Linked DNA regions of Arabidopsis thaliana. The protein of the gene in region 4 interacts with the protein of the main gene of each other region in a pairwise test. Each region holds a gene or a part of one and is shown on either strand. Other genes may lie near its edges. The genes, in order: AT5G42060, CUC2, AT1G53900 and HK2.

The links.
Region 1: the proteins of HK2 (region 4) and AT5G42060 interact in a two-hybrid assay, tested with the Arabidopsis thaliana proteins (one large-scale study listed by BioGRID).
Region 2: the proteins of HK2 (region 4) and CUC2 interact in a two-hybrid assay, tested with the Arabidopsis thaliana proteins (one large-scale study listed by BioGRID).
Region 3: the proteins of HK2 (region 4) and AT1G53900 interact in a two-hybrid assay, tested with the Arabidopsis thaliana proteins (one large-scale study listed by BioGRID).

What each region holds. Positions count from the first base shown.
Region 1 is NC_003076.8:16,816,638-16,821,718, forward strand, and holds AT5G42060 (DEK, chromatin associated protein), read right to left. Parts: upstream 2,319-5,081; 5' UTR 2,286-2,318; coding exon 2,007-2,285; 3' UTR 1,751-2,006; downstream 1-1,750. Other genes in the region: AT5G42050 (DCD (Development and Cell Death) domain protein), read left to right, coding at 59-169, 254-295; AT5G42053 (uncharacterized protein), read left to right, coding at 1,071-1,235; AT5G42070 (uncharacterized protein), read right to left, coding at 2,481-2,523, 2,688-2,933, 3,277-3,482; DL1 (dynamin-like protein), read right to left, coding at 4,024-4,152, 4,238-4,377, 4,451-4,679, 4,778-4,828, 4,933-5,081.
Region 2 is NC_003076.8:21,899,655-21,906,465, reverse strand, and holds CUC2 (NAC (No Apical Meristem) domain transcriptional regulator superfamily protein), read left to right. Parts: upstream 1-2,611; 5' UTR 2,612-2,670; coding exon 2,671-2,860; intron 2,861-2,940; coding exon 2,941-3,224; intron 3,225-3,846; coding exon 3,847-4,500; 3' UTR 4,501-4,762; downstream 4,763-6,811.
Region 3 is NC_003070.9:20,124,688-20,132,768, reverse strand, and holds AT1G53900 (Eukaryotic translation initiation factor 2B (eIF-2B) family protein), read right to left. Parts: upstream 5,225-8,081; 5' UTR 5,208-5,224; coding exon 4,878-5,207; intron 4,794-4,877; coding exon 4,500-4,793; intron 4,277-4,499; coding exon 3,830-4,276; intron 2,965-3,829; coding exon 2,812-2,964; intron 2,730-2,811; coding exon 2,588-2,729; intron 2,475-2,587; coding exon 2,233-2,474; intron 2,142-2,232; coding exon 1,935-2,141; 3' UTR 1,719-1,934; downstream 1-1,718. Other genes in the region: AT1G53903 (linoleate 9S-lipoxygenase-4 protein, putative (DUF581)), read right to left, coding at 1-119, 219-406; AT1G53890 (LURP-one-like protein (DUF567)), read right to left, coding at 6,774-6,870, 6,964-7,040, 7,125-7,139, 7,222-7,475, 7,621-7,909.
Region 4 is NC_003076.8:13,909,630-13,919,901, forward strand, and holds HK2 (histidine kinase 2), read right to left. Parts: upstream 7,177-10,272; 5' UTR 6,709-7,176; coding exon 6,439-6,708; intron 6,342-6,438; coding exon 6,168-6,341; intron 6,063-6,167; coding exon 5,583-6,062; intron 5,503-5,582; coding exon 5,227-5,502; intron 5,143-5,226; coding exon 4,973-5,142; intron 4,868-4,972; coding exon 4,655-4,867; intron 4,562-4,654; coding exon 4,375-4,561; intron 4,304-4,374; coding exon 4,252-4,303; intron 4,174-4,251; coding exon 3,944-4,173; intron 3,850-3,943; coding exon 3,751-3,849; intron 3,665-3,750; coding exon 3,024-3,664; intron 2,938-3,023; coding exon 2,449-2,937; intron 2,364-2,448; coding exon 2,114-2,363; 3' UTR 1,654-2,113; downstream 1-1,653. Other genes in the region: AT5G35740 (Carbohydrate-binding X8 domain superfamily protein), read right to left, coding at 943-977, 1,063-1,317, 1,397-1,466. UniProt on the Arabidopsis thaliana protein: Cytokinins (CK) receptor related to bacterial two-component regulators. Functions as a histidine kinase and transmits the stress signal to a downstream MAPK cascade.

The DNA.
Region 1 (5,081 bases), 2.9 Mb from region 4:
TTTGAGCTCTTGCTTTTGTCTAAATGCTAACAAATTTTTTGGGGTAATAAAAATAAAGGTGAGGGCCATAACGAGGAAAGTATGTTTGCCACTGGAAGAAGATTCTTTCCGACCCATTTTGCACCACTACGACGGTCCTAAGTTCCGACTCGAACTCAGTGTCCCTGAGGTACGTTTTTTTCATCTTCTTTAGTTCACAACCACTTTTTTTTCTTACATTCAAAGTCTAACGCTTTGGTTGTGTTTTTGGCAGGTGCTTTCTCTATTGGACATTTTTGCTGACCAAAACCCTTGAATTGGGTAATACCAATGAAGAACACAAAACAGTGGTTTGTTACTTCAAATCCAGAAAGAGAGAGATACCCCATTATACATATATGATTATAAGGAGGAGTATTAATAATAATTGTCTGAAGAAATGGTATTTTACTAGTTTATACAGTTTCTTTCTTAAGTATATTCCCAGGAGATATGGGATAAATAGAAGATGTGCTATTTTTGTGTGGGTGGATGAAGAATAGATCTCATCTCCGCGCTTTTTTCTTTTTGTAAATTATATAAAATAACATATGTACAACCCCAAAAATAGGGAGAAATGAGATGATGAACTCTTATCAATTTGTGTTTGATATTTTTATTATTGCTCCTATTCACTTCTTGCCCAATTCTATCTTGAATTTCATTTATACTAGTCGGAATAAACCGGCCACTTCATGAAAGATTTGTTGTAACAAACAACAAACTTCTCCAACAAGTAATTAAAATGAATCCAGAACAGAAGGCAATGGTTTGGGGGAAAAAAAATGTGGGAAAGATTAGTTGAAGCAGCAAAAGTGATTAGAGAAAAGCACGTTAAGAAAAAGTGTACAATAAAAGTGTTAACATCAAAACATCAAAATATTTAATTTTTGTTCGTCGGCATTAGTTTTGTTATAAACCATAGGAGAAAATGTCAGAAATAGATCCACAACTTAAAAGAAAATCTCACGACGTGGCGTAGGTAAATGGAGACTGGAGATATTAATGTGGGGGAGATGAAGAAGACTTTGAATTGGTCTTTGTTTTGAAATATGCGTTCACGCTTAGTGGAAACAAACACATGGACTCGTCTCGACGCTAATTACGCGGACCAGATTGTGCCACGCTTTAACGGTGCACGTTGGCTTTGTATTCGATGGGCTGAAACTTTTGCTGACTTTGTGTTTGGACCAATCAGCCACTTGTTCACCAATTAAGATTAACCTTCTTTTTTTTTTATATAGATTATCGGCATTTATGTATATTTTATACGAACTGGTAATAATAGTGCATAACAATTGCAACAAAACTACAAGCTTTTGGAACCCTGAAAGGGTTGCTGATTCATGGAACTAGAAGTGTATTCTAAGGTTGAGACTTGAGAGTGTTGGCTGAGAAATTTATCAGGTGTAACATTGGTAGCTTTTGGTTTGATAACTGGACCGCCTTTGGTCCACTCATCAAATTTATTGGTAACGACGGGACAAGAAGCTTGATAGTTGCCGTTAATGCTACCATTCCTGATGTGTGCAAACCTGATGGTTGGAATCTTGCTAACCCACGGTCTGATCAGTATAAAACACAGTCAACAATCCATTGGAAAGCGAATTACAAGCTCTAATCTATTATTTGCAATATTCAGCTGCTGGAGCAAAGGCTATCGAAAGGTGTGTTTCCAAGGTAATAACAGACAAGTATCTCTTTTCCTGAACAAAAAATAGTGCCATCAACTTCAGAATCTGTAACTGAATTCGACACATTAGGACTTGGCAAGCCAAGTTTGAAGAGGTGTCCTGCAAATTTTCTTGCAAGAGCTCAAATTCCTCAGACACATTGTCTTATTGCTTAGACACATGTTTCATATCGGACAAAAACATTAGCTTCCATGAACCAGAAACACTATTAAAAAAACAAACAGAGACAATCTTTGAGGAAATTACATTAAAACTATCCAATTTTGGATCGACATACTTTTAGATTAATAATATCTAAATACTCGTCGACTCTATTCTCTTGGGAAGCATCGCAAGTTTATTGCCGATCAACTTTACTGCTTCTTCGAGGAAATTTTCAACTTCTTCTTTCACGATTACCTTGTAAGGATCTTGAGACAGATCAAGATCCAATTTAAGTGAAGCTTCTTCTCGCGCCTTAATCTCTGTTATCTTGTACAAGTTCGAACTTTCCAAGATCTTCTTCACCGTCTTCTTTATTTTCCTCCGCAGATCCTTGTCGATCTCTACTTCTTCTCTCGCTACTTCCTCCATTGATGATGTCTCGCCGACAGAGAGAAACCAAAGGGTTTTTGTTTTGTTTTTTCTTACGAGTGATAAAACCTTCTTTAGGGTTTCTTAACTATTGAGCCGTAAAATTATAAATGGGCCGATAATATGTTTAGGCCCAATCATCATTACACATTTCCAAAAAAAGTTCTTCTTGGACTTGAAAAACTGGGCTATATATCACTTGTTTGAACTTTTGCTAGAACTTGTTGGCTTTGTCTGGCTGCAAAACAAACAAAGAGAGAAGAACATGATCATCATTACTCTGCAAGGTTCTCAAACCCATTTTGACATTCTTGTACATGCCAAAAGACGGTTTTTGTTGCGGTCCAATTTGTTTCATTGTTGATTGTAAGTGTATATAAATAATACTAGGCATTAACATACCGTAGTAGTGAATCACTGGTGTCTACAGAAGTGGAGGATTTAGAGTCACCACGACCAAATGCAACCTCGTCCATGCTCTGCCCTATGCGGCGGTATCTACCTCCGGCCTCAACAAACGCGGGACAAGGCCTGTAAGCCTTAATTGGCCACCAACCGAAACCGGGGACAGTTGCAATGCCACCTTGAATCCGTCCGTCACCATTACACCCACTCTCTTTCTCTTCTTTCCCACACGCTCTGCAACCACTGTTTCATTCCTCATGTTATGATCTATTGACTATAGAGAGATGGATCCATCACAATTCACAAATGACAATATAACCAATCGCTCAAGCCAACATGAGACCACAAAGAAATTTATGAGGTTAGTTATTGTAGAGAATCATTTTAAGAGATTCACTAGTGTAACAAAATTGAAGATTCATATAACACTAACAAGTTAACAGCAGAAAAGAGTCTCTATGATTTCATCATTTACGCAATCCCTAATCTATCACTAACTCTAAAATCCTTAATGTCAACGAAATTGGATTAGCTGAGAAAGGTTTAAGCTTTCCAATGGAATCGATGAAGAGAAGCAAAAGGGTACCTGAAAGTGAGGTCGTTGTCGTCGTCATTATCAGTTTCTACGACGGAAGACGGCGAAGAAGAAAGAGAGAGTAGTGGATGAGGATGATGCTTTGATGATTTGTTGAGAAAGAAACTGCTTGAGCTTGGCCATGGCCTTGATTTGTGACTACCATTGTTGAAGATGAAACATCGAGGCAGAGATATTGATGAAATGGAATTCGCCATTTTTCTTTCCTCTGTGAGCTAAGAGAAGAGAGTGTGAGAAGATAATGGCCACAAATTCAGAAACGCAAAACAAAATAAAAAAGAGTACATTACAAATTTTTATTTTAAACTATTAGAATTTTTTTCTTATTGGTAATCATATTTAAATATTATACTCTTTTTTTGGGTAGAATGTTTAATATTATACTATTGTTACAGAAAAATTATCATATGCGAAAAATACATTTTATAGTAATTAAATAAAGGGAATAGAGAAAATCTAATCTATGTGGATGTTATAAAAGATACGTAACATATCGGGTGATGGACAAAAAACATTAGAGGCAGGACAAACAATGTGGATGTTATAAAACGATACGTAACATATCGGGTGATGGACAAAAAACATAGAGGTAGGACAAACAATGTGGATGTTATATAAAACGATACTGCATGGTATCGGGAAGATCATCTTATACAAATTACAGACCCTAAATCTCTGCTCCGAGTCTGAGCCACACCGACCAGAACCGAGCAAAACAGTGGACATGACATGCCGGTATCACTTGGACCAAGCAACAGCATCGATCTCGGATTGGGCTGCTCGATACAATTCTAGCCGCTTTGAGATGGCACTGCGTCTCTCCATGATTGCTGGATCTTCGTTCAATAGCGACGAGAGCCTCTTCATCTGTTGGATATCACCATATTAGTTGACTCAGTGTTTACCCGAATGACACTTCTTTAGGTTAAGAAAAAAGGCAGAGAGCACTTACATCCATGGTACCGAGCTCCGCAAAGAAATGGTCGAGGAGACTGCGCTTCGCTTCTCGGACTTGGCAGTATACGATGGACTTGGGGATTGAATTCCGCAGGCCAGCACAGACCATGTTCACGTAAGACAAAACATTGGATCCTGTTGCCAAATGTCTAAAATTTGTGAGATATACGGTACCAGATAATTATTTATTTATATGGGTTAACCTTACCGATTCGTCTGAGATAGGAATCGTTGTAGCGGTCGAAAATGGAGTGTGTGGGGTTACCACCCTTCTCAACATCCTGGGGAAGTTTCCTGAAGAAATCAACAGTGAGGTAACTGCACTCCATGTCAACCAGCTGCAGTGTTGCTTTCTTACTTCCTTCCCGCATTTTATCCAGCGACTCTATCGCCGCATTTGTCACCTCCACTCTCAGAGCTGGGTATTGTTTTAGTTCCTGCACATGTTCAAACCGTCTATAACATTGTACAAAAGTACTAGTTGTTGGAGATATATATATATATATATATATTACTAAAAGAAAAAAGAACGTACCACAGTTTCATTCACAGACTTGTGAACCAGATCCTTTAAGATAGCATGAACCTAATATTTAACCATAGAAAAAAAAAAAAACGGAGAGAGAAGCTTATTGTTTTGTGTTAGGTTTTTGATACATCTTTTTAGAGATGAAAGTAAAGAGTTCATACGGTGTCAACAGATGCTTCAGCAGGGCCTCTGATGGAGACAATAGAAGACTCAATGAGACGACGGTAACCTTGCTCAGGAGCAATCAAGTGAGGCTGGTAACCATCAGCCTCAGTGACCAGCTTCCGGATGTTGTCCATCGCTAGCTGCT
Region 2 (6,811 bases), 8.0 Mb from region 4:
TTTCTTAATACTGTGTTAACCTCCTGCATTTATAATGCTATCATTATTTATTTTATTGGGTTCTCTTACGTCAAATAGTTTATTATTGGCATTTGTTCATTTGCTTTTTGCAGTTATTAAAAAAAGATGATATGCGGTATTACCAAACATTTTAGAAAATAAATAAAAGTTTTGTAATAAATGATTGATAAAACAACAACGAATTTTATGGTAGGACATATGTTTTTCTGTAGAGAAAAACAAATCCATTTTGGTGTTCGAAAGCAGCCATAAATTTCAGATCAATAGAAAAATATAAACAATTTGGAAAAGAAATTGAAAAATAAAATAAAGAGGATGATATGTATATAGAATATCAAACACTCTACTATTGTGTTAATTAATCAAAAGGGGATAAATGTGGTATTTAAAGTGTCAAAAATATAGCATAAATGGAATGAAGGTGATAGAAAGTAGGGAGTGTGCATTTTAACCTTGAAAAAGTACGGATATTAGATATTTAAAGTCATAAGAATATTTTTCTCGTTATGAAAAAAATGCTAAGCAAACAAACAAATTAACCGTGAAAAATATATGTTTAAATTAAGATAAAGTAAAGCAAATTTCTAAAATTTGGCAAGGTCAATATCAACATTGTAATCTGTTTGGCCATTGTTTTCAGTTTAAGACAATTAACACTTTGGCACACTAGAATGTATTCAAAACTTCATAAATTCAAGTAATTACAATTATATAATGTTATTGCTTCGGTTCATAGCTTGGTGATAATCTTTTACTTCAACTATCTGTAATTAAGACAGGAAAGGATCTTATTAATTAGATTTAGTTACTGTCATATGCAGATATGTCTAAAAAGACGTATAGATAGACCTACAATTTCTAGATAGTAATAAATACTACTATTAAACAGTAGTAGCAGGTGTAATAGTCTTAGCATGTCTCTGATAATGATTTTTAATGTATAATTATTACTTTGCATACTTTATAACATCTTCTTTTTTTTAACTAATAGTTACACACATGATAAGTCCGTAGATATGAATACTCGAAGGGGAGAGTTATTTTGATTTAAGTTTATACAATTTTTTCATACGGTTAAAATAGTCAATAAGTCTGTAGTTAATTTATTAGTAGAAATTGATCAACTCACTATCTTTTTAGTTTGATCTTAAGGTCTTTACATTTTTGGGTGTGTCTTTTATTCTTTAGTTTATTCTTTAGTACATTTTTGGGTGGGAAATTTTAAAAAACAAGTCATGTCAAATAGGGCTAAAATTGAAGTTCCACTAAAATAAATAATTTGTATGAGATAATAATCAAAATATTGGAAGTAACAGAAATAAATTAACAATTGTGAAATTTACGTTTAGTCATGTCATTTTGGTGGACCTGTAACAATCAACATAATTGATAATTAGTTATTTGATGAGCCATAATTAATTTATATAAAAAAGGAGAAAAAACAGACTTGAGATAGTAATTAAGAAAACTACAAAACCAGGCAGCATAAATATCTTCTCTGATTTGCAACCTGTAACTTCTTGATTAAATTATTTTTCAATCTTACATCATAAATCTCGTTGCTTGAAAATAATGAAATTTAATTTTCTTTTGCTGAGTCTTACAAATGAATATGAAGCAATGAAAAGTAACTAAAAATCCATCACAGGAGTAAAAAATTGGAAAATGGAAAAGATGAAACAAAAACGAAAAGAAAATCAAGGAAAAAAAAAAGAGAGGTGAAAGGTGTAGAAGGTGGTGGCGTGTAGTAACGAAGTCTCTGTCAAAGTTTTTGATAAATTAATCATGTACTGTGCTGACACTCCAAGATTTGAAACAGCCTTATCGATATAATATCCATTTTTCTATTAAAAATAAAAATTGAAACTCTTCACTTTCCAAATAACTAGTGTATATGTCTAATAATGTATCCCTCACTATACTACTATTGTTTCGATTAGTCATTGTACGTATAATAAATTATTATGTATCCCAATTTCCAAACACAATAATAAAAAGAAATTTCAAGTTCGTAGATAAAAAAAAAGATACAATCTGAATCCTCTCTTTTATTTTCATCACTGACAGAGAATACCACTGCACTTTTTCTCATGCACGCACGCATACTCAGATAGAAACAAGAGCCCATTCCTCGTTTCTTTAATAATTTAATTCAAAGAAATACGGACACTTCATGATTAATTTTAATTTTGTAATTTTAAAACAATCTCGAGTTATGTAAAAAATATATCGATAAACTCAAAAATGTGATGTAATAATCTGCTTTGGCTTTGCTCTCTTTACTACAAGACAAGGCAGAGAAAACCACAGATTCCTATGAAAGAGTAGACGTACCTGTCTTTTTATTATTACTAAATTTATAATTATCTTCTCTACGACTTTCTGGTTTTTAATCTTTTAATAATTATTTTACTTTCACTACCCCAAAAAAAAAGCTTCCCTCTATTTCGCCGTTTTAGATTTACCAAATCCCAATGTATAAAAAAAATAAACTAATAAAACCAAAAAATAATATCCATCCACATTATTACCACGCCCCTTACTCAAGAACCATCCATTATATTAACCTATTTATCTTCTTCTTCAAAACATTTGAGTCTCCTTAGGGTTTTTTCTCTCTCAAACAAAAGCTTTAGATCTTTCTTCTTAATGGACATTCCGTATTACCACTACGACCATGGCGGAGACAGCCAATATCTTCCACCGGGTTTCAGGTTTCATCCCACGGACGAAGAGCTCATCACTCATTACCTTCTCCGCAAAGTCCTCGACGGTTGCTTCTCAAGCCGTGCCATCGCAGAAGTTGATCTCAACAAGTGTGAGCCTTGGCAACTTCCCGGTAAGAAAATACAAAACTAACTTACTTGTAGTTCTTTTGTAATTAAGGTTTCTGAAATCTTTACTCTCAATGTTACTTAGGGAGAGCTAAGATGGGAGAGAAAGAATGGTACTTCTTTAGCCTCCGTGACCGGAAGTATCCGACGGGACTGAGAACTAACAGAGCAACTGAGGCTGGTTACTGGAAAGCTACCGGAAAAGACAGAGAGATCTTTAGTTCAAAGACTTGTGCACTTGTTGGGATGAAGAAGACTCTTGTCTTTTACAAAGGAAGAGCTCCGAAAGGAGAGAAGAGTAATTGGGTTATGCATGAATATCGTCTTGAAGGCAAATTCTCTTACCATTTCATCTCAAGAAGCTCCAAGGTACTTCGATTTAACCTTTCATTAGTTATTTTGTTGATAAAGTAAAGCCTTAATTTTCTTTGATTAATAAATTTACAATCTATTATTTGGAAAAAAAATTCGAGAGTGTGACATAGTCGGTGACGTTGATTTTTTTCTCTTTTGCTTTATTGCATTTAATTTTGATGGCTGAAAAGGCATGGTTCTTTACTGTGGTTATCTGAGAGCATTATGGAACATGAAATAGAAAAGATCTGCTGTTTTTATGTATTGGGATTTCAATCATAATGGTGTTTTCCTAAAGTAAGAAAACATTCAATAGCTCTGATAAAATAAAATATTAATACATCCTACTTTTGGAAAGCTTAATGCAAAAAACCAGAACCAATGCAAATCTTCAGGATTTTTTTCTGACCTAGATATATTAAAAAGAAATTTAATTAAATTAATTTTACTTAATTAGTGTTCCATATCCATTGTAGACTTGTAGTGTCCAATGTACATTCCCTCTGTGCACGCTTTTACTCTATGGTTTTTCTTAATCTTCACTCTCTTTTATTTCCAAGATCTAACATTGACTTTCTCATCAAACATATATTATATAAAATATTTGACTTTTCAAAACTCTAATTTATTCCTTCAGGATGAATGGGTGATCTCTAGGGTTTTCCAGAAAACCACTTTAGCTAGCACCGGAGCCGTCTCCGAAGGAGGAGGAGGAGGAGGAGCAACTGTGAGCGTAAGCAGCGGTACTGGTCCATCTAAAAAGACGAAAGTACCCTCAACAATCTCAAGAAACTATCAAGAACAACCAAGCTCTCCTTCCTCCGTCTCACTCCCACCTCTCCTGGATCCGACCACTACCCTCGGCTACACCGACAGCAGTTGCTCCTACGACAGCCGTAGCACCAACACAACCGTCACAGCCAGCGCAATAACCGAGCACGTGTCCTGTTTCTCCACTGTCCCTACTACTACTACGGCCTTGGGCTTAGACGTTAACTCATTCAGCCGTCTTCCACCGCCGCTAGGGTTTGACTTTGACCCTTTTCCTCGTTTCGTTTCTAGAAACGTCTCGACTCAATCTAACTTCAGATCGTTCCAAGAAAACTTCAATCAATTTCCTTACTTTGGATCGTCTTCTGCATCGACTATGACCTCCGCCGTTAATCTGCCTTCTTTCCAAGGCGGCGGAGGCGTCTCCGGGATGAATTACTGGCTACCGGCGACTGCCGAAGAGAATGAGTCAAAGGTCGGTGTGCTTCATGCTGGACTTGACTGTATTTGGAACTACTGATCACAAAAGAGGTGACTTATAATTGTTCCCGTTAGGGTTTTATTTATGTATTTCTAGGATGATTATGGTATTATGAAATGTGTGTACCGAGGAGCTTAATATTGCACTTAGCTTGATGTTCCGCTTAATTCTCTAGTTTTAAGTTTATCCGGTTGTGTTAATTAGGAGGTAATATGCAAGGAAAATGTTTTCTAGACTATGAACGTGCATATGTATAAGCTATGCTCGTTTTTGTAATGTTTGACATTATGTTAATTTCATGGCTTTTTCATGTTTTATATTTCTCATGATATTTGACATGTGTCCTTGGTTATCAATACAATCATACAGTATATTACCGACAAAATGAATTTCTTCGGTCGCTTCTAGATACCTTAGTTTTCTTCTTGTTAATACAATTTGATATGGCGGTTATATATATGTTTCCGGAATTCAACCGTTCCGAATCTTCGGTTAGATGATTTCCGTAATTACATAACATGGCTAATTATTTAATTTCTTCATCAATTGAAGATGCTCAAATGTAAAACATGCATGTAGTTTTTGTTTATTAATTCTAGCTAATTAAGGTTGACATGTGTAACTGCCAAAATATTTCAAGAAAGTTTCATGCTTTTAAAGTAAGTACTCATAATTCAGTGGATTAATCAGTCTATGAACACCATTTTCAGTTAGGTGTATCTTCTTGCTACAATCGTACACATATGAGACTAAACACAACAATTTGCGTTTGGCTTAATTGATTAAGATAACATGCATGTACATGGTAGTTACTGAAAATAATTTACATACTAATTTTGATTAACTTAATGCATTGTAAACCCACCAAAGAAAAGAAGTAGTTTTGAAATTAAGGATTTTGAAACGGGGATGATGAATATGATGCGCATGCTGACGAACGGACCACTCCCAAATTCAGATCTTGTACAACAGTCCACCTCACTTTCAGAAGGATGGCTTTCACATTTCTATTTTTAGAAAGAGACATAATTAATAATACCTCTGTTTATTACCATTATATATGTGTTTTCATTTCACGTGTGTATACTAGTAGGAGTATGATATATGTATGTGTGTAACACAACCATCATCATCATCATCATCATTACCATCATCAATTATTGCTCTTGTTGCATCACCAACCTATACTACCTAGTCATAAGACAAATTCACAGACTCACATATACGTCTTGCTAAATGGCAAAATTTCATGATGTTTTAGCTAAAGGAATATATGTACACATTTGTATGCTTATTATTTTGGGTTTCATTGGTTACATTTGCAATCACAAAACAAACTAAGGCAAATGGTATTGGTTCAAAAAACATTGACCAACATATATATATATATATATATAAGAAAAAACCCAGCTATTTACACAAAAGAACAGCTAAGTGATGATAAGAACTGACTAATTTTATCACACTATGTATATATAAAAAAGCAGAAAATTCAGCTGGCCTGACTTAAAAAATAAAAATCTTAAACCAAAAGTTACTATATTTTATTATTATTATCAGCTTCAATAACTACAACATTTAAATTTTACTTGCTTTTCTAAAAGATGTCTGATTTTTTGCCCCAAAAACAAATGTCTGATTTTGTACGTCATTACGCCCACACCGATTACGCCCAACAATTATCATGTGATTAAAACAGCTGGAAAGTTTGTGAAGAGGAAAAGAAAAATTATGCCAACTAAATCTAAATCAAAATTTCGCATATAAATCAATTGCATTCAAATGATGTGCCAACGATTTTTTTTTAAACACACATACATGTACACTTTCAAATGAATATATAAAATTAAGCATTTGAGTGTCCTATACTATTTTCAAAATTGCAGAAATACTGCTTTAGCTACATAAAGAGGTAAAAATAAGGGTTGTTTTCTTTGTCGGACTGAAACTAATTTCAAGTATTTGTAATCTTCCCAGCAAGAATATTCTCTAAATTTCTATTTATATCGAGCAATTATTACAAGAACCCTAAGTATTCAAATACAAGTACATGGCAATATGCATGTTTCGCAGCAAATGACAAAACCTGAGAGTGAAAAAATATTAAAAAACATCATCAAACTCCGACGATGATGATGGTCGTGGTCCCAACAGTATTGAACCCTCCAGGTTGTGCCAAATGGCAGATTCATAACCGTTGATGGACATGGCCGGCGAGGTAACGGCACGTGATACGAGCATGCATGCAATGTGGTTATACGTACTAATGAGTGGAGAGAGTAGGCTTGGTGCATGGAAATAGCAATCCACGCGTCGTACGGGATCGGAACTTGGTCTTGGACGATATATC
Region 3 (8,081 bases), on a different chromosome or scaffold from region 4:
CGTTATTACATCGTCTGTACGAAGCCAACATCATCTTCGTCGAAGCCTCTAGTTCTTTTCTATCATCAATCAACATCTGACTTTCTCTGCACTCTCTACTACAAAATCCCAAATCTCCTCTGTTTTCAACAAAAAAAAAAAATTGAGAATCAAGAACAGAACATCTTTCGTTTACAAAGAGTATATAATATAGTAATAAAAAAAAAAAAATATCGTACCTGTACATGTAAACATCTTTGTCTTGATGGAGTTGTTTATTGCAGAGATGACATGTTTTAAGGAAACAAAGCTCCGAGATGTTTGGATTGGATCGGTTTAGTCTCAGTGAAGATTTGATCACTATATTGTTTAGTTTTTCCCTCGAATCTCTTGTCACAAGTTGCAATCCAACAGAGATTTTAGTCATTCTCTCTATCTTTAGGAATTGGAAATCTGAGTGGAGAGAAATGTGAGAAGGGAGAGAGAGAGAGAGATGAAGTGGAAGCAGAAGCCGAATGGTTTTTGGGAATATATAAAAGTAGATATTTTACTGTATTGAGTGATGTGTCTTTTATGTCTCAATTAAAATGTGGAATTTGACTTTTTCGACATTGGCCAATTTCTTGTCGGGAATTACTACTTTTGCTATTCATCAGAAAATAACCCTAAGACCTAAACTCATACATTCAATGGAATGATTGGGAAAAGGAAAAAAAAACTCGAATTCAATATGTTATAGTTGTTGTTAAATGAACAAATGTAAAATGCTAAAAAAAAGTTTGTTGTAAAGTAATCTATTTATATTTTTAGTTTATACATAATCACTTTTCTAAAACGTGAAACTTAATCAAATGTTATAGACTAATGATATAAAAAAGAATTAAAATGTGGTGTGGACAGATATATTTGCCATCTTTAATGTCTTTACAAATATATTTTTAATTTCATTTATTGTGTTAGTATATTAGATGTTCCGAAATAATTTTATCTTTTTTCACCTTCCCGAATACAGTATACTTTTGTAAACAGTTGAGCACGAAGATAACAAAAAAAACGTGTATATGGGTAATTCCAGGAAAGAACGTAATATTTTTAAAAAAAACGTGGGATTGTAAGTGGCCGGTGTTTTATGAATCTTACAACGTTAGCAGTTAGATCCAAACATTAGCTATAGGCCTATAGCCTATAATAATATTCCATCTGTTTTACAATATAAATTGTTTTAAATAAAAACACGCAAATTAAAAATATTTACTTTTAAAAAATTCTACTAATCACAAAAGAGACTACATAACATAAATAATCATAAAATATTAAAATAATATATAATTTGTATAGAAACTTGAAAACAACTTATATAGTAAAACAAAAAAATTGTTCCAAAACAACTTATATTATGAAACAGAGGGAGTAGTTACTTAGACCAAGCATTAAAATAATACTAAGAATTTACCATCTTTAATTCTATCACGTTTCTCATGCTCTCATTTTCAAAACATCAAATCATATGATATTCCATGTTACATTATAGGTCATTTATCACTACACTGCAATAATTGCAACTTTTCAATATCCAGCGCATACCATACCATTTTTTTTTTTGTGCAAACATTTTAAAGTGTTAAAAGGATATATATACTTTTGCAAAAAAACACAAATGATTCTAACAATAATAAAACAATATAGCAATACATATCTCTAATCAAGAAATCAAAAACCAGAAATGATCATACTATAATATATACTAGTAACTATATATTGAAACTTGGGTGATAAATTTTGAGTAAAGATGACAAGTCACAAAGATCTCGCTACTACCAAAAAAAATGTGCATTAGCAGTAAGAATCAGAGACAAACTATGTCTGTGTATAGCCAAAAATATGGTGTTTTTGTTTTTATTTTTATACAAAAAATGAGAGATTTCAGACCAGCTATAGGAATTAGACAGCTTCACTTACAAGTAAAGCTGAATAAGCTCGTCACTTACTACAGATGGAGTGAGAACACCAAGATCAGTGAAGAGTAGAGTCAAGTACTGAGGAGGAGTGTAGTCCCTTGCAGATCTTTCTACCTCAACCTTAGGAGGAACAGGAACACTGAAATCAATAGGTCGCAAGGCTGGTTCTAAGTCCTTTTGATCCAACGGGTAGAGCCGTGCAAACTTCGCTTGCAAGAAAACAAGAAAGAAGATGATGGATCATTGATGTTTTTGCAATCAAGTTTTTAAAACTTTTAAAGTTTTGGGAGGTTACCTTGTAACTCTCTGCAGCTACATAGACTGGTTTATTCATACTCTGTGCGACTAGGGCGATTTGGTAAGTTCCCATCATGTTAATTATCCCGCCACTTTCAACTACTCCATCAGCTCCAACAAACACCATGTCTACTTCATCCATGCTATAGGCCACGGCTGAATCGATCAGAAGCTTCACAGGAATATCAAGTTTTGCAAGCTCGTTAGCTAGCAGTACACCTGTTTTATCTGGCCTTCCCTCTGTATTTTGTTTCCACGGATGCAACGGAAATGTGATTGTCAGTTAGGAAAATCAGAATGAGATAACTGGAAGATGTCATATCCAATTGATCTCTAAGTCTTAAGAAAAGTACCTGTGCACAACACTCGAAAGAGTTTCTTGTTTTGCGCTGATGTCTTTAGTATTTCAAACACAACTCTGGAGAAACCATGGACCAGAATAGTACACCCATCAAATATGAAATCTTGACTAAGCATTGCAATTATCGTTCGGGCCTGCAAAATTTCCAGTTACTGTTCAAACTCTTCTTCTACTAACTATTTATGTAAACAATTCCCGTTCGAAGAGAACACTGACCTTGCAAGATATTTCCCCAAATTTCTCAGCACGTTCAAGCACACGGGATTTCGCAGAGTTGAAGTCCTCAAATTCTAAAGCAGATGTTCGAGTCACATAGCGCATGAATAGATCACATCCCGCTGTTAAGGATATCGACGTTGTGTCCCATGACTGAAACATGAAGACAATCTTACATTTTTAGAGTTCTACCTCGAAAACACTGAAAGCTACTCAAATAATACCATCTGACACTCAGGACTAACGAAATCCATCAGCTACCAATTTCCATAGAGACATAATATTTCAAAGAAGTATAGCATCATAGAAGATGTAAATTAAAACCATAAACACATCATCCAGGAAAGATAAAACTTTCAACCTATCTTTCCCTTTAGAGCCACCAGAGAGTCTTAGCGATCAAGAAACTCGCAGAAATGCCAAGTACAATTCAGAACTCTACAAGTCAATGCAATGCCATAATCACATCTACCATTTTGACACAAACTAAACCTGATTTTTTGTCAAAATAATCAATGCTAAGTTGCAAACTAATAGCATGTTCATTAAAAACTGAAAGCTACGATTTGAGCAGGACTCAAATGTACAATCTGACACTCAAATCAAAGGAAACAACCAATTGCTCATTTCAAAACAAACAGAATATTTCAAAGAAGTATAGCATCACAGAAGAAGTGAAGTAAAACCAGAAGCATCAGCATCAAGATATCCAAAAAGATTAAACTTTCAACCTATCTTTCCAAATAGAGCAACCAGAGATTCTTAACACCATCAATAAAATCCACAATGCAGAGATTACTCGGACATATAATGCCAAGCAAAATTCACAACTCGACAAGTCAATGCAATGCCACGATGATGATCACATCTACCATTTACGCCGCAAGCTAATCCTAAGTTATCGTCAGGGCATGAACCAAAATACTCAATGCTAAGAGTTCGTTAAAGATTGAATCACAATACAGAGTCATCCAAAATTCAGAACCCAAATTTCAACACAAAGAAGAAAGTCTCTTACTTTCAGAGTATCAGAAGCTTTCTTGAGTTCAATTTCAAGTTCCATCATAGTAGTAGCTTCACTAGCCCTAATAACAGCCGCAAGAGCACGAATCGCCGCAACAGCCTCCGCCAAATCAGGTTGCTGTCTCCAACTATTAAAGTCCTCAATCACGCTAAAGGGTCTTCCCGAAACTAAGGAATCACGATCAGGGTAACGTCGAACCGCGGCTTGAGCCTGCTCCAACCACTCGCTAGTCACAATTCCATGATGCGCCGCTCTGGTTTGGTAATAAGCCGAAATAGGATTAGGGTTAGGGTTTTCATCCGCCATTGAAGCAGATGGTGGTGGAGGAGAATCAATTGAATGAGTTAGAGAAATGGGTTTGTTGTTCTGATGCTTATCGAGGATAAACGAAGCCGATTCTCTCCACATTTTGATGAATTCTTCGAAAATCTCAGTTTCAAGCTAGAGACTTTGGGGTTTATGCCTCATGCCTGTAATAACATTTAATTTAGCTTTAAGAACTTCATTAACAATAATATTATCATTTGGCTCTCCAAAATTGTATATTTACATTTACGACCCTAAAGTTTACACAATAGTTCAATCTCACCCCTACTAATTATCACAATTTACATTTGAGAAGACTATATGCTATAACAATACCCATTATTAAAGAGTGATCTACTTGTGGCTCCACCATCATTGTTAATACATCTTTCCCAAGATCTAAACTTTTGATATTTGATTGTTTCTTTTTAACTTCTGCCAATAATCTTCCTGATCCATCCTCGATTGTGAAAACCGATTTGCGTTTTACAATCTTATAACAAGATTGATGATCACCATCAACTATACGCGATCCCATTACAACTTTGTATGATGAAGATGAACCCTTTGGCAATATCTTGAAGTTTTTTCTTAGTTGAAATCTTGTCCCGGTTGAGTTATATCCTTTCCAAGATTTGAATAATCCCAATTTCTATAACCAAGAAAATAAAAGAGTTAGAACAAAATACTTTTAAGAAAACTATAAGAACATAAGATGATATGTTTTATTGTTTACCTTTTGACGTAATGTAAACAAGATTTTGCCGTATAAGTCCATAAGGTAAACTTCACTACAACTCTTGGAGTTATAATTATCCACTCGATAGATTAAGTTTCCTTTGGAATCAAAAACTGTGCAGCCTTTACTATGAAACACAAGAGATCTCATCCAAATCGTGAAACTCTCTTTCTCCGTCGTTAAGTACGGCGAAGTCTTGCCTTCTCCCACGCTAAAATCCACAGGAAACGCCTTGTCAGGATGAATCTTCACCATGTTCTTCGCCGGAGAAATCAGATTAAGTGAAAATTTGGTCCTCATCGTTCGGTTGTTGCTATATATTTGCATATGTATTGATTTTTTTTTATGTTTGGCTCTGAATGATAGTTATATGTCTTCTTCGCATTTATATATACTTTCTACTAGTAGTAGTAATTCAGTTTTTGGTGTGTCATTAGAAAATATATATATACGAAGGTCTTCGTCCACATGTTCAATGTGAGATACAAAATAAAAATAACAGAGAAAATCATGTAGCGATAACATGTATGGTCGTTTTTGTTAAACAAAAAAAAATGTATGGTCCTTTTTGTTTGTTACTACATGTCTGGTCGTTGTAACGTGACTAATGTGATTGTGAGATTCGATTAATAGAGCAAAAAATATTGAAAAAACTGTTCATACAATATAATAAGATAACTTCAAATTATTAGTTGCTAGGCTTAGAATCGGTCTTCAGTTGTGGTCCATTCCATTTGTGTTCTATCCGTTGTCCAATGCTGACAGTTTATCGGAATGATACTGCACAAAAGAATGTTTTGACAGGAAGATTAACTGTAAAAGCTATTGTTTATATTTGCAAAAATTGTGTTTTTTTTTTTCTTTGTATTTGCAAATAAATTTGATATCATTTCTTTTAGGGCACTTTCTTTTATTCTCTAGAACACTATAAATTAATTTCAATTCATTCGCATACCCAAAAAATAATGTCAAAGTGTCACAGGTTACGTTTTTTTTGTGTTTGAAAATTGAAACATGCGTAAGAAATTATATGTTGTTGCCACTTAAAACTAGGCGTGTACATCTTGATATCAGGACAGTAAAATAACACATAAATCGAGAGCAAGTAATTCACATAACAAAAAACATTCATGACAATTTTCGATAAGATAGGGACGAGAATTTTGGGTCGCGGAACGAGTTCAAGAAATTTAAGTAGCAAAATTTATTATTCAAATTCTTACTAATTTGGGTAAGGCTTGATGTCGGGACGGTTAAATTAAAGGTCACTTTCGATACGGGTATTTCTGAAAAACTTACATATTTAGATGATTTTCATTAATTTTATAAAAGCTGAATAACCAAACGAATAATACATATATATATCTCATTCTATAAACAATTTCAAGTAGCTATTTTTATTTTTTTTAAACACACAAATATGGGATAAAAATTGGAACATACAGTATATGAACAGTACCGAAATGGACAAGCCTATTTAAAACCATGTATGGAATATGAGATGGCTCATTCTGCTATTACAAATTACAATCTGATCACATGGTCCTTTAGTTTAATAAAATCGTATGATTGATATCTCTATTATCTTTTCATGCATTCGTATAACTTCCATGACCCCTTTACTATTAGTCTATTATCTTCTTCACCAATTCCAATTCTTTCTGCTGACTAAATTACCATCCAAATCTATTTAATTCAGTTTGATAAATATTTTAGTAATTCAATTATGGTTAACTCAGCTAGTTAAAGATATTGTTAACAGAAACATGACCCTAATTTCAAAACACTTTTGGTTTATGTTGTGGAATTGGTACTAGTATTAGTAAAACATACATCCGTATAAAAATCACGCTTAAAGGGTCTTCTCACGACCGGGAAAACGAGTAATCACGGTCATGATAGCGATGATTGAATGGCAGCTTGAGCTTGTTCAAACATACTCGTTGGATCAGTACTATTCCATGGTGCGCGGTTCGGGTTTGGCAATAAGCTGAAACAGGGTTATAGTTTCATCCGCCATTTACGAAGAAGTTGGAGGAAAAGAATGGATTGAATATTAAGTAAGAGAATTAGGTTTCCATACCAAAATATAAAAAAAGAGAGAACTGATTGGTTGTTTTGACTTTTATGAGGATGAACGATGCCGAGCTTCTCCGCATTCTGGTGCAATCTTTTCAATATCCAATTTCAAGCCAGATATTTGGGGTTTATGCCAACGTTTAATTAGCTTTAAAACATGCTTACCTTCAAGATTACCACCTGATTATCACAATTTACATTTGGTAAGTTTATAAGCTATAACAATACCCATTATTAAAGAATGATCTAGTTGTGGCTCCACCATCATTGTCAAAACATCATCTCCAAGATCCAAACCACTAATATCCGATAGTTTGTTTTTAACTTCTGCCATTAATCTTCCCGATCCATCCTTGATTGCGAAAACTGATCCACGATTTACAATCTTATAACAAGATTGTTGATCACCATCAACTATGCGTGATCCCATTACAACTTTGTAAGACGAAGATGATTCTCTTGGCAAAATCTTGAAAATCTTTCTTAGTCGAAATCTGGTCCCGGTTGAGTTATATCCTTCCCAAGATTTGAAGAATCCCAGTTTCTATATATATACATGCACACAACAAAAATGAACTTGCAAGGTAAAATAAAATAATAATTATAGGAACTTATAAATTCTTAGAAAACATTGATGAAATGTTTAGTATTACCTTTTGACGTAAAGTAAACAAAATTTTGCCGTTTAAATCCATAAAGTAAACTTCATTACTCCAACTCTTGGAATCATAATTATCCACTCGATAGATTAAGTTTCCTTTGGAATCAAAAACTGTGCAGCCTTTGCTATTGAACACCAAAGATTTCATCCAAATCGTGAACCTCTCTTGCTCCGTCGTTAAGTAGGGCAAAATCTTGTCTTGTACGACGTCCATATCCACCGGAAACGCCAGGTGAGGATAAATCTTCACCATGGTTTTCACCGGAGAAATAGGATTGTATATTTGCATATATTGAAAAACTTTTTTTTGGCACTGATAGATAGTATATATATAGATATCTTCTTCGTATTTATAGCCTCTACTAGCTAGTAATAATTCAGTTTATGGGTGTATCATAAAAATTAAAATAAAAAATACGAAGATCTTCATCCACATGTTGAATATGTGAGATAAGAGAAGT
Region 4 (10,272 bases):
GACATTTGCTCACTAGAAGATACTGAAGCAAGGAATTGATGAAGTTAAGAACAAAGATCTGAGTTGTATAGCAGAAGATGCCAATGCGACTCCACAGAGTTTAGCCCTTTTGACCATTACAAAAGGCCAACTTGATGATGACAGTGGCGCTTCAATATGGAAAATCAGGCAAACAAAGACTGATGCCAAATCTTTGGAGTAAATAATAGGAGAATCAGATGAAACCAAAGACCTAGCTGCCAATCAGGACATGCCACAATCAGAACACCAAAGCATAGCTTGTCAGGAGAATGCGGTGAGAACAGTGTCTGTACAACGCTAAACATTTTGTTGCAGGTTTAAGGCTTATTAACATAGATTAGTACAAGGGCAGGGTAAATTATTAGTTGACTGTATAGTTAATTGTTTTGGCCGCACCAGTTTAGTTAGTCCATTATTATATAGCCACCTACATTAGGTGGATTTAAATAAGAGGAGAACTTGTAAAGACAAAGTTGATGTTGATGGATCTCTGTAGTATATCGATAGCTCCTATACTGTATATGACTTGATTCAAGTATGTATTTCCATTACATTCATGGAGACACTTGTTCTTTCACTTCCATGAACAGAATGAACCAATGTTGTTATATGGTAGCACTGTGTGATAACAACGTATTCTAAACAGAAATGGAATCAGCCTATTACTGCGAGTCTGTGACTACATGTTAAGTACTCTAGATTGAGCAATAGTACCAGATTGATGTATATTCGATACTGTAGAAAATCTCAATGCACAGTAAAAGCAGGTTGTTGAAGAAATTTTTATCTCAGACTGGAGTGTAATGGGAGAACAGTACATGGATACTGCTTTGGAATGAAAACATTACATAGAGAAAACGTATAAATGCAAAATCATAGCTTTTCATCTTGCTGTATCTTGTCTTTGCTGTGTCGTTTGAATCAGGGGTTATACTCATACTGGCAAGAACCATGGCCTGTCACAATCATAGCTGGATCAGAAACAGATGGTTCACTATCTACTAAGATTCAAGGGAGAAAGAGAGAGAGGAGAAAGCTTACTGGGGTCAAGCTCAGTGATCATGGCAGCTCCTTTGAAGTAACAAGAACCACCTTTGTTTTTATAAGTTTGGTAGTAACTGTTGAAAGCAAAGGAGGCATGATCTCTGATTGTGTTAGGCAAGAAGCAAGGCTGGTTTTCCTGCTGCATTTTGCTGCAGTCTGCTCCACCTTTTCCGCAAGCCCAGTCTAAGGCTGCTTGCAACTCATCGTCTGGCGTTTGTTCATCCGCTATGCACCATTGTTCCGACTCTGCCTCTGCTTAAACATACACTCACATACATCTGCATAAGGCCAAAAAAGGGACATAGTATGAACATTGCAGTGGTGTTTTTACCTGAACGTCGAGGAAGAGTCATTGCTATGATAAGCAAAGGAAGAAGTATCCTTATCAAGAAAGTTGACATGTTTCTAGAGAAGGCAATGAGTGGTGCAGAGAGATCCAGATCTGATCTATCTAGTTAGGAAGTTTGGGAGCTAAGGAAATGAGTGCAACTTGATACCCTTTATACTAGTTAGAAAGAATCATTAGTCCAAAAGTTCAAGATCTATGACTAGGGAATCTTGGTTTGCTTCAGATGCAATCATGTGCCAGATCTGCATTGGTTTTGACTTTTGAGGAAGATTTTGTTCTGCTTCTGGAAGCTTTTCAGAACACACTGTCATTTATACGCTTCCTATCATGTAATCAAGAGCCATTACTATTACTACACAATATACAAGCTGTTTCATAGTTAAGAGGACAGAGTTTGGGTTTATATATATATAAAATGAATATAATGGAGCTATACCCTAGGAATCTACTATACACACAGGCAGAGATCAATGAAGACAAAGTGTCTATACAAAGAGAAAGATCGGTTTTCGCAGTTTTTCTCACTCAACCAGACGAGGTCTTAAGCTGAAAGAGACCTGTGAAGAAAAATTGACAATGAACTGGTTCTTGCCTTGATCTCAAGTTGAATTGCAGGTCATGGATGTTCAAGATATACTACCCGATGTCAAAAAGCTCTCGGGTTGATATATAATCCTACAAGGGAAATGGCTTTTTCTTTTAACAAGGTTCAAAGAATCTTGCTACCGCTGTGTAGAGCACTTCCTCTTCAAACGGTTTTGATACATAACCATCCATTCCACATTTCATGCATTCTTCATGAGTAGCCTGAATAACATCTGCTGTCATTGCTAATATCGGGACGTGCCAACTACTAAATTTACAGAACATTTCAGCTGAAACTTCTCCAGAAGCTATTTTCTTATTGATTTCCCTCTCCAGCTCACGGACTCTCCTTGTCGCTTCAAATCTGCGCAAAAAATTATAAAGTTACCAAGGACGACATCCAAGAAATGAACAAGCTGAAGAGATAAGATTGAAAAATAGTTATCTACCCATCCATTTCAGGCATCTGGAGATCCATGAAGCAAGCATCGAAGTTATGAGGCGGCTTAAGCATTGCCAATGCAGCTTTGCCACTCTCAACGCATGTAACAATAGCTCCATATTTCTTAAGTGCACCTTCTGCAACTCGTCTGTTCACAAGATTATCATCCACAACCAGAATCTGTTTTTCTCTTAGCAAGTGTCCAAGATTTCTTCGCTGTCTGTTCGGTTGCCTCTTCTTGCCATTGACAAGGGTTTCTTGCAAGCAACATATTAAGACACTCATCCGAAGAGGCTTTATCACCACCTCATCGATGAGACCAGTAGACTTCATCTCACTGCGCTCAGTAAGAGTTGCAGAAGTTGCCAAAAGAAAAATCTTTGGGACTCTTGTAAAGGTTACTTTGCTTCGGGTAAACAACTCGTCAAGTACTGAAAATTCTTCCTTGTTCCAGGCGTCTTTGTCTATTAGAATCATAGCCAAATTTTCTAATTTGCTGCAAAGATTCCAGAACAATAAAACGCTTTTAGTGAACTCACTATAATCTCTAAAGACAGACAGACACTAATGTACGTAAAGTACCTGATACAACAAGTGCATGCCATTCTCAGACTTGAAACAATGTCTGCAGATATTCCCAGTCTCCGAAGTTCGTACCTGGTGACCTCTGCTCTAATGTTTCTGTTATCAATAACTAATGCTCTCAATCCTGTAAACTCCTGAATAGCTAGATCGAATCGTTCCAGCTTAGTAATCGACGTATTTGTTTCTGCTTTCCCGAAAACTCCAGTAAATGAAAAAGTACTGCCTATCCCGGGCTCACTCACAAACCCCATCTCTCCTTGCATGAGTTCAACCAAACGTTTGCTTATACTCAAACCTATGCCAGTTCCACCATAAGTCCGCGATGTGGAACTGTCGGCTTGCATAAAAGGTGTGAAGATTCGGCCTTGTGCATCCACAGGTATGCCAACTCCAGTGTCCTCCACTGTAACTAGCAATTTGATTTGATCAGAATTCTGACTCTCAGTACTGTAACATGTCTTGAAATTCTTCCAGCTTCCCCATGCATTTACCGCAGGAAACCCGCTAACTGTCTCACCGGACTCGCTGCATCCTAAAGCTAGTCGCTGTTTTAGCACTGCGTCTTCAATAGTAAGAGGCTCCTTTACCTCATCTGCAAGGTGCACTGAGATAAATATGTGTCCCCTTTCCTGTGTGAACTGTTATTAAGTAAATAACAAATGAGTACTGTAATAGTAGAGATTCGTGAAGCCTGTTGTTCTGTAAGAAGTAAGGAGTAAATTACTTTGATTGAGTTTCCAACCAGGTTTGTAATGATCTGCCGGAACCGACTCGGATCACCGACTACAACATCAGGAACTTGACTAGAAACATAAACGGCCAACTGTAACAAGAAGTCAACATTTCATTACATATGGAATTTGTTTGCCATATGAAAACATTAAGAAAGTAGAAGGTCATGCAGTTTATAATTATACCTCAATTCCTTTTTCATTTGCCTTGCCAGAGAGGAGAGATGAAACATTATCAAGAATAAAACGCATATCAAAAGGCACATTTTCAAGCTCGAGCCTTCCGGATTCAATCTTTGCCTGATCAAGAACCTCATTTATTAGTGATGTAAGATCCTTCCCACTGCCATGAGCAGTTTGCGCATAGTCCATCTGCTTCGCATCAAGATCGGTGTCCATCAGCATTTTCAGCATTCCTGTAACAAAATGCTTAAACGTTTCAGCTGATTTTAAGAGAACATGCAATATTGACCAAGGATAAGTAGAAAAAGTACCTAAAACTCCATTCATCGGAGTCCGTATCTCATGAGAAACAGTTGCTAGGAACTGCAAAATAAGAAGCATTTCAGTGAAAAAACAAGTAAAGCTTTTGAGACTATATGATTCACAAAGATCACCTGTGACTTTGCAATGTCAGCGGCCTCAGCACGAGCTTTGAGTTCCCTCATCTTCTGACAATCCTCTTCAACTGTCGCAATTCGGTTGATGGCTTCATATAAAATATAACCAACAAGAAAAGTAATAACCAGAACTAAGATCGACGGTGTTATCGCTGTCCAGGGAATGGGAAGTTTATGCTTAAACCTGTAAATGAAAAATGCCACTTTCATACTTCAGAAAACAGAGAAGTGAAACATATCTTATAAAAATGTACCATAACAGTTAGAGCTAACTAACCTGCAATGCATCTCATGGTTCCTTGATGGATCACCAAAATCAAGGCTACTTATATGCTGCTCACTTATATCCCCAATTTCTGAGCCATACATTTTTATTAGACCTGAAGTGTTAGTTGTGTCGTAAACATCCACAGCAATTGTCTGTTTGCTGGCAAGTTGGTGAAGAAGTTTCTCCACCAGCGATGGCATATCATATGATGCACCAAGGTACCTGTTTTTAAGTGTATCTTATTAATATTTTCTGGTCCAGAGATCATTCTTTGTTACATAGGTTCAATTTCTTCAGTCCTAGAATCATTTTAAGTAGAAGTAGTACCCAATAGTTGCTTCAACACGCTGTTCTTCTGTAGCATCAGGCGGTAGGCTCGTGTCATAGACAGCAAAGGTCAACACAACACCAAGATGATTTGACTTAAGAAGCTTAAATGGAGATGTTAACACTCCTTTTCCTGATGCCCTTGCCCGTAAGATGTTTTCACGGTCTTCCTGCAAAATAGTTAGACTTTTGAATTCTCTTTTAAGGACATTGGTTTGGCAAAATAGTTCAAGAAACTTTTAGACGTTACTGACTTCTCCAGACATCATGTCGACCGATACAATATGGGAAACAGTTTCTTGAGCAAATATAACTGGCGCGTATTCGTCTTGAATCGGTGCGGGATCAAAGTTTTCAGGAACACAATCTTGTACAACTGTCTGGTCCTCAGTTTCCATTTTCTTTATTGCCCATCCATGCTCCTTTTCAAATTTCTCTCTTTCTGAGTGTGGGACTTTCAAAGCATACGCTACACCACTAGTAAGTGGCCTCTCAAAGTTTGTTCTCTCAGTATATTCTTCAAATGTTCTCTGTAAATGTAACAGAAGTTGATGATTTAAACATAAACTTGAGACACAAAATGTATTTAGCAGTAAGAAAAAAACATCACCTGATCAATGGCAGATGGGATTTTACCATGATGAAATGTAGATACAAGAATAGACAAGGCATGAACATGGTTCAAGCTAACATTGAACTGATCTTGTAAAACACGTGCTCGTTCGTCACACATGTTTGCCAAAGTCTCCCTCCTTTTCATTATGATCTCCTCATTAGTGTCCCAAAACCACCAAACAGAGAAGGAAACTCCTCCTAAAATACCAAGGAGAAGGATATTCTTCCTCCATCTTCCAGCCCCTCTAGAAGAAGTCTGAGCACGTTGTTGCTGCTTCTTTGGAGCTAAAGCCTCTTGCAGATGTACTTTCTCTTTCCTCTCACCTCGTGCTTTAGAATGAGATACATAAATCTTATGGCACACTAACACACCAAGGATTAGACACCACCATGCATTTCTTAAATACGATGACAAACCCTGCTCCAGCCCTTCTTCATGGTTTTCTTCCTCAAGGTTTTCAGGTTGCTGTAAAATCTACTCATAACCAAACACATTCACAATAAACTTTTGTGAGAACTAGCTAAACACCAAATCTTAAAGCATTTCCTTCACATGTTGTCGAATCGAATATTATCTTACCGGTTCAAGATTACCACACATACAAGATGTTGATGAGATAGAATGTCCTAAGCCAAGATTCCAGGGAAGCCCTCTAGTCTCTTGTTTATCAGAACGCACACTCAGGGAACATGTAATACCATAGTTTGTCCACATTCCAGGGCTTGATTCCTTATGACATTCAAAGGATGTTACCTACAACAAATACAGAGAAACTGTTACACTTTAAGGCAAATCTGGTGCGTATTCAAAAGCTCAATTTCAACAAATACAAGTCAATTCATGCAATTACCTGATCTGAATCAGAGAACAAAGAGACCAAATCATGAATCTCACTTCTTGTGACATTTTGATGTCTATACAACACTTTCTCTTCTCCATTACAAGAATCTGTCTCCTCCTTCTGACTTCTACCTAACCGTAAGAACATAACCAAAACAATTACCAAAGAGCCACACAAAATCAGGAAGAAGAGAGGCTTCTTTAGCCATTTCTTGTCACTGCTCGACGACTTCTTAGCTTTCTTTGAAGTAAGATTCAAGAGCTCACAAGTTATAGACATTTCGACTCCTAATCTCAGATTCAGCTGAAGAAATTCAGATCTCTTCAAACCCAAAACTAAAACTCTATCAACAACAATCTCATAGTTGAGTTCTTGAAACCATCCACAAGAAGAACAAGAAGCTGTGACATAGTCCCAAACGCAAAGCTTTTTTCTTTTTTCTTACTTAAGACGCAAGAGGACAAGATGAACCAAACCCAGTGGTTGTTGCAATGGGAGAAAGAAGACATTGTTGAGAGTAAAGAAACGGAAAAGAGAAAAAGGACAAAGCTTTATCTTCTTTCATGGTTTCAGGGTAAAGAAAAATGACAAAGCTTTCTCTGTTTTAGATGTTTGTGAGCTTAAACAAAAGAAACCCAGCTGGTGTCTCTCATTACCCAACTGGACTCAATGATCAGAGTTTGGATAAAAGAAGCATTTGTTAGAGAAATTATGAGCTAAAGAAAAAGAATGTCACTTCTCTCTTCTTTTACTCTACTTTTGATTATTATTATTGTTTTTGTCTTTTGGTGAATAAACATTTTTAAAAACTGAGGTTTTTGGGTCCATGATTATCTCATCATCTAGGTGGGGAAGGTATTATAACATTTTTAGTTAAATTAGAAAAAGTGATTGGCTAATGAAAATATAAATAAACTCAACTATACCAAGAATCAATACATGCTTCTCCTAAAACCTACTCATTGTTATTTGTTTTTTGTTTGGTCTTTTTGGTGTTTTTAAATTGCTTCATTAGCATAGTTTAACATCTACTCTTAAGTCTTATCTTATCTTGTATAAAATATAACGATGAGTGGGTTTTACGAGAAGTGGGTATTGATTTGATTCTATATGTACATCTTATTTCTTTTTATCAGTTTATGTATCTTTGTCTCCCAGTTACATTTATGATTCTGATTATTTTTATGTAAGAAGTTCTGTTTAAAATTGTATTTGACTTTGAAAATATATTAGGACTAGATCATAACCCGTGCTGTATAGCACGGGCATTAATATTTTGTATAAATTACATTGTATACTTTGTTATGTTTGTTATGTTTATCAAAATTATTTGTTATATTTGTCAAAATTTAGTAAAATATATTCAAATATAATTAAATTTATTAAAACTTAATAAATTTAAAAGTTTTTTTTGTTTAGAGACGCACTATCTACATACAAAATACTCGTTTCTATTTTTTTGAGTATTTTTAGGGCCTGAAACTTTTTATCCAAACTGACCCAAACCCAACTGGACCCGACCCGAACCGAATATTTAGAATTATTCTATTAGGTAGTAAATCATATACCCATTAATCCCAAACCCGAACGGGTTCTACCCGAACTCGAATGGGTTACTCATATGCCCAGCCCTATTCTCTGATTTAATTATCTAAAAAATCCCAATAAAACATATGTTTTGTTGAATACCTTTTATTCAAAAAAATTTACATCCTCTTCTGCCAAAATCATTTCATAAGACATCCCAAAACCCTTGGAATAATGATTCTATGAATGAAGAATCCTAATTTGAATATACCAAGAGGTTTTGAAAGGTTTTAAGTTTTTGATAGGTGTGTATGTGAGAAGGTACATCCATCGTGATGGTAATCTGCTTATTTATAATTTTAACTTGCATTATACAGCAGGTAGGCTTATATTTTAGTTAAACTAAAAACTTTTATTGTAAAGTTGATTACAAATATATGATATTATTTTATTTGATTTTAAATGTATAGTAAACTGCTAGTTGTATATGTTTTGTTGATATTATTTATATTGTTTAATGTTTAAAATTATATACTTGTATTTTGATTGTTAATTTTAGAGTTTCACCTGTACTATACCATCTTGTATTAATATTGATTTAAACCCGTCAATTCTAGGATTTTCCAACTTGTATTAAAAATTGAATCACATCATACACATTAAAAAATCTAATATGTTATTAATTATTTTAGTATATAAAATTATAAATTTTAAAATAATATGTATGAAATTGAATATAAATATTCAAATTATAACACAGTACTCAGTAAAATTTTTTTTTAAATCTACTTTTGACCCGTTATAGTATTTTTTCATGTATTGAACAGTTTATATTTGTTTTTTTTAAATTTAAATTGTGGCATATGCGAAAAAAACTCTAATTATTTTTTTATAACGATGATATTATTTTTTTGCAAAAATAAAATCATATAAAGATGAGAGGTGAACTATAATAATTAATAAAAAATTAATATGATAATTTAGATATCAAATCTAATTTGTTGATTTTAATTGGTTACTTTTTTGGAAATTAATAATGTATTTCGTTTTTGAGTTAAATTTAATTAATTAAATTGACTTTTTAATTTTTAAAGAAATGAATTAATTTACTCTTTAAAATTTTATTTCTAATGGCATACATATGTAATTACTTACAAAAAATAAGGTTATATTTAAAATGTACTTCCCAAATAATATAGTAGGATAGAAAACCAGGATTTATATATATATATATATATATATATGTGCTTAAATTAAATAAATTGAAGAAAATAAAGTTGATTTTTTCGTTAAAGTGTTTGTAATGGAATCGCTATTGTAGTATTGTGTCTACACCCAAATTGAAACCAGACATAATACATGAAATTGACCAAAATTGTATATTTTGAGGTGATCTTACCGTGTTCTCAAGATGACCAACGAAGCAAAGACAAAGATGACCCTATAACTTTTATTAAATTGTGTTTGCATTAGTCATGCCTATTTAGTTAGAGTTGGATGAAATATTTGATTTGATTTTTTTTTGTTTGACTCCAATATCTAAACCCTTATACAGTATCGTGCCAAAGTCAATAGAGGCTTAAGACATATTCTAAAATTGTAGTCTCACACATTCTATTTTTGAGATTTTTTTTGAATGTTAAGAAAAATAATATATATATATATATATATATATATATATATATATATATATATATTGCTCATTTAAGAAACAATTTCAGTACAAACAAGATTTAGTAGTTAATGTAAAGGAAAAACAAACAAAATTTTCCATAAATGTTATTGATGAGTTTTCTTTCCAAAACAAAAGTCTTAAAACGCTAAATAAAAATAAATACTGAGTAATTCAGAAATAAATGTGGCATTTTATTTGTTTATTTTTGTATGACCTAAGACAAATGTCTTTTTCCTACATGAAGTACGGCTCTGCCTAAATAACAATTTATTTTCATTTAATCGATCTTTTTTGGTATTTTTGAACTACTGTCGTATGTACATATCAAACCTCATTATTCTTTCATTCCTATATATTATTTAGTTGTTTAATATGTATTCCACCTAAGAGATCTCAATTGATAATTAGTTAGTCTAAAAAAAATATTATCTATTATTTTTATCTCACCAATATTTTAGACTTTAGAACAAAATAGAAAATGACAAATAATAGCATGAGACAATTATTTTTATTAAAAAACAATAAGCAATATAAACATGTAGAATATTATTCGGTTTGGGATTTACGGCTTTACTTCATAGACGGCTTTTAATGACCCTCTTAGGACGTCAAGTTGCTACGATAAAGCCATGAAAACAGTT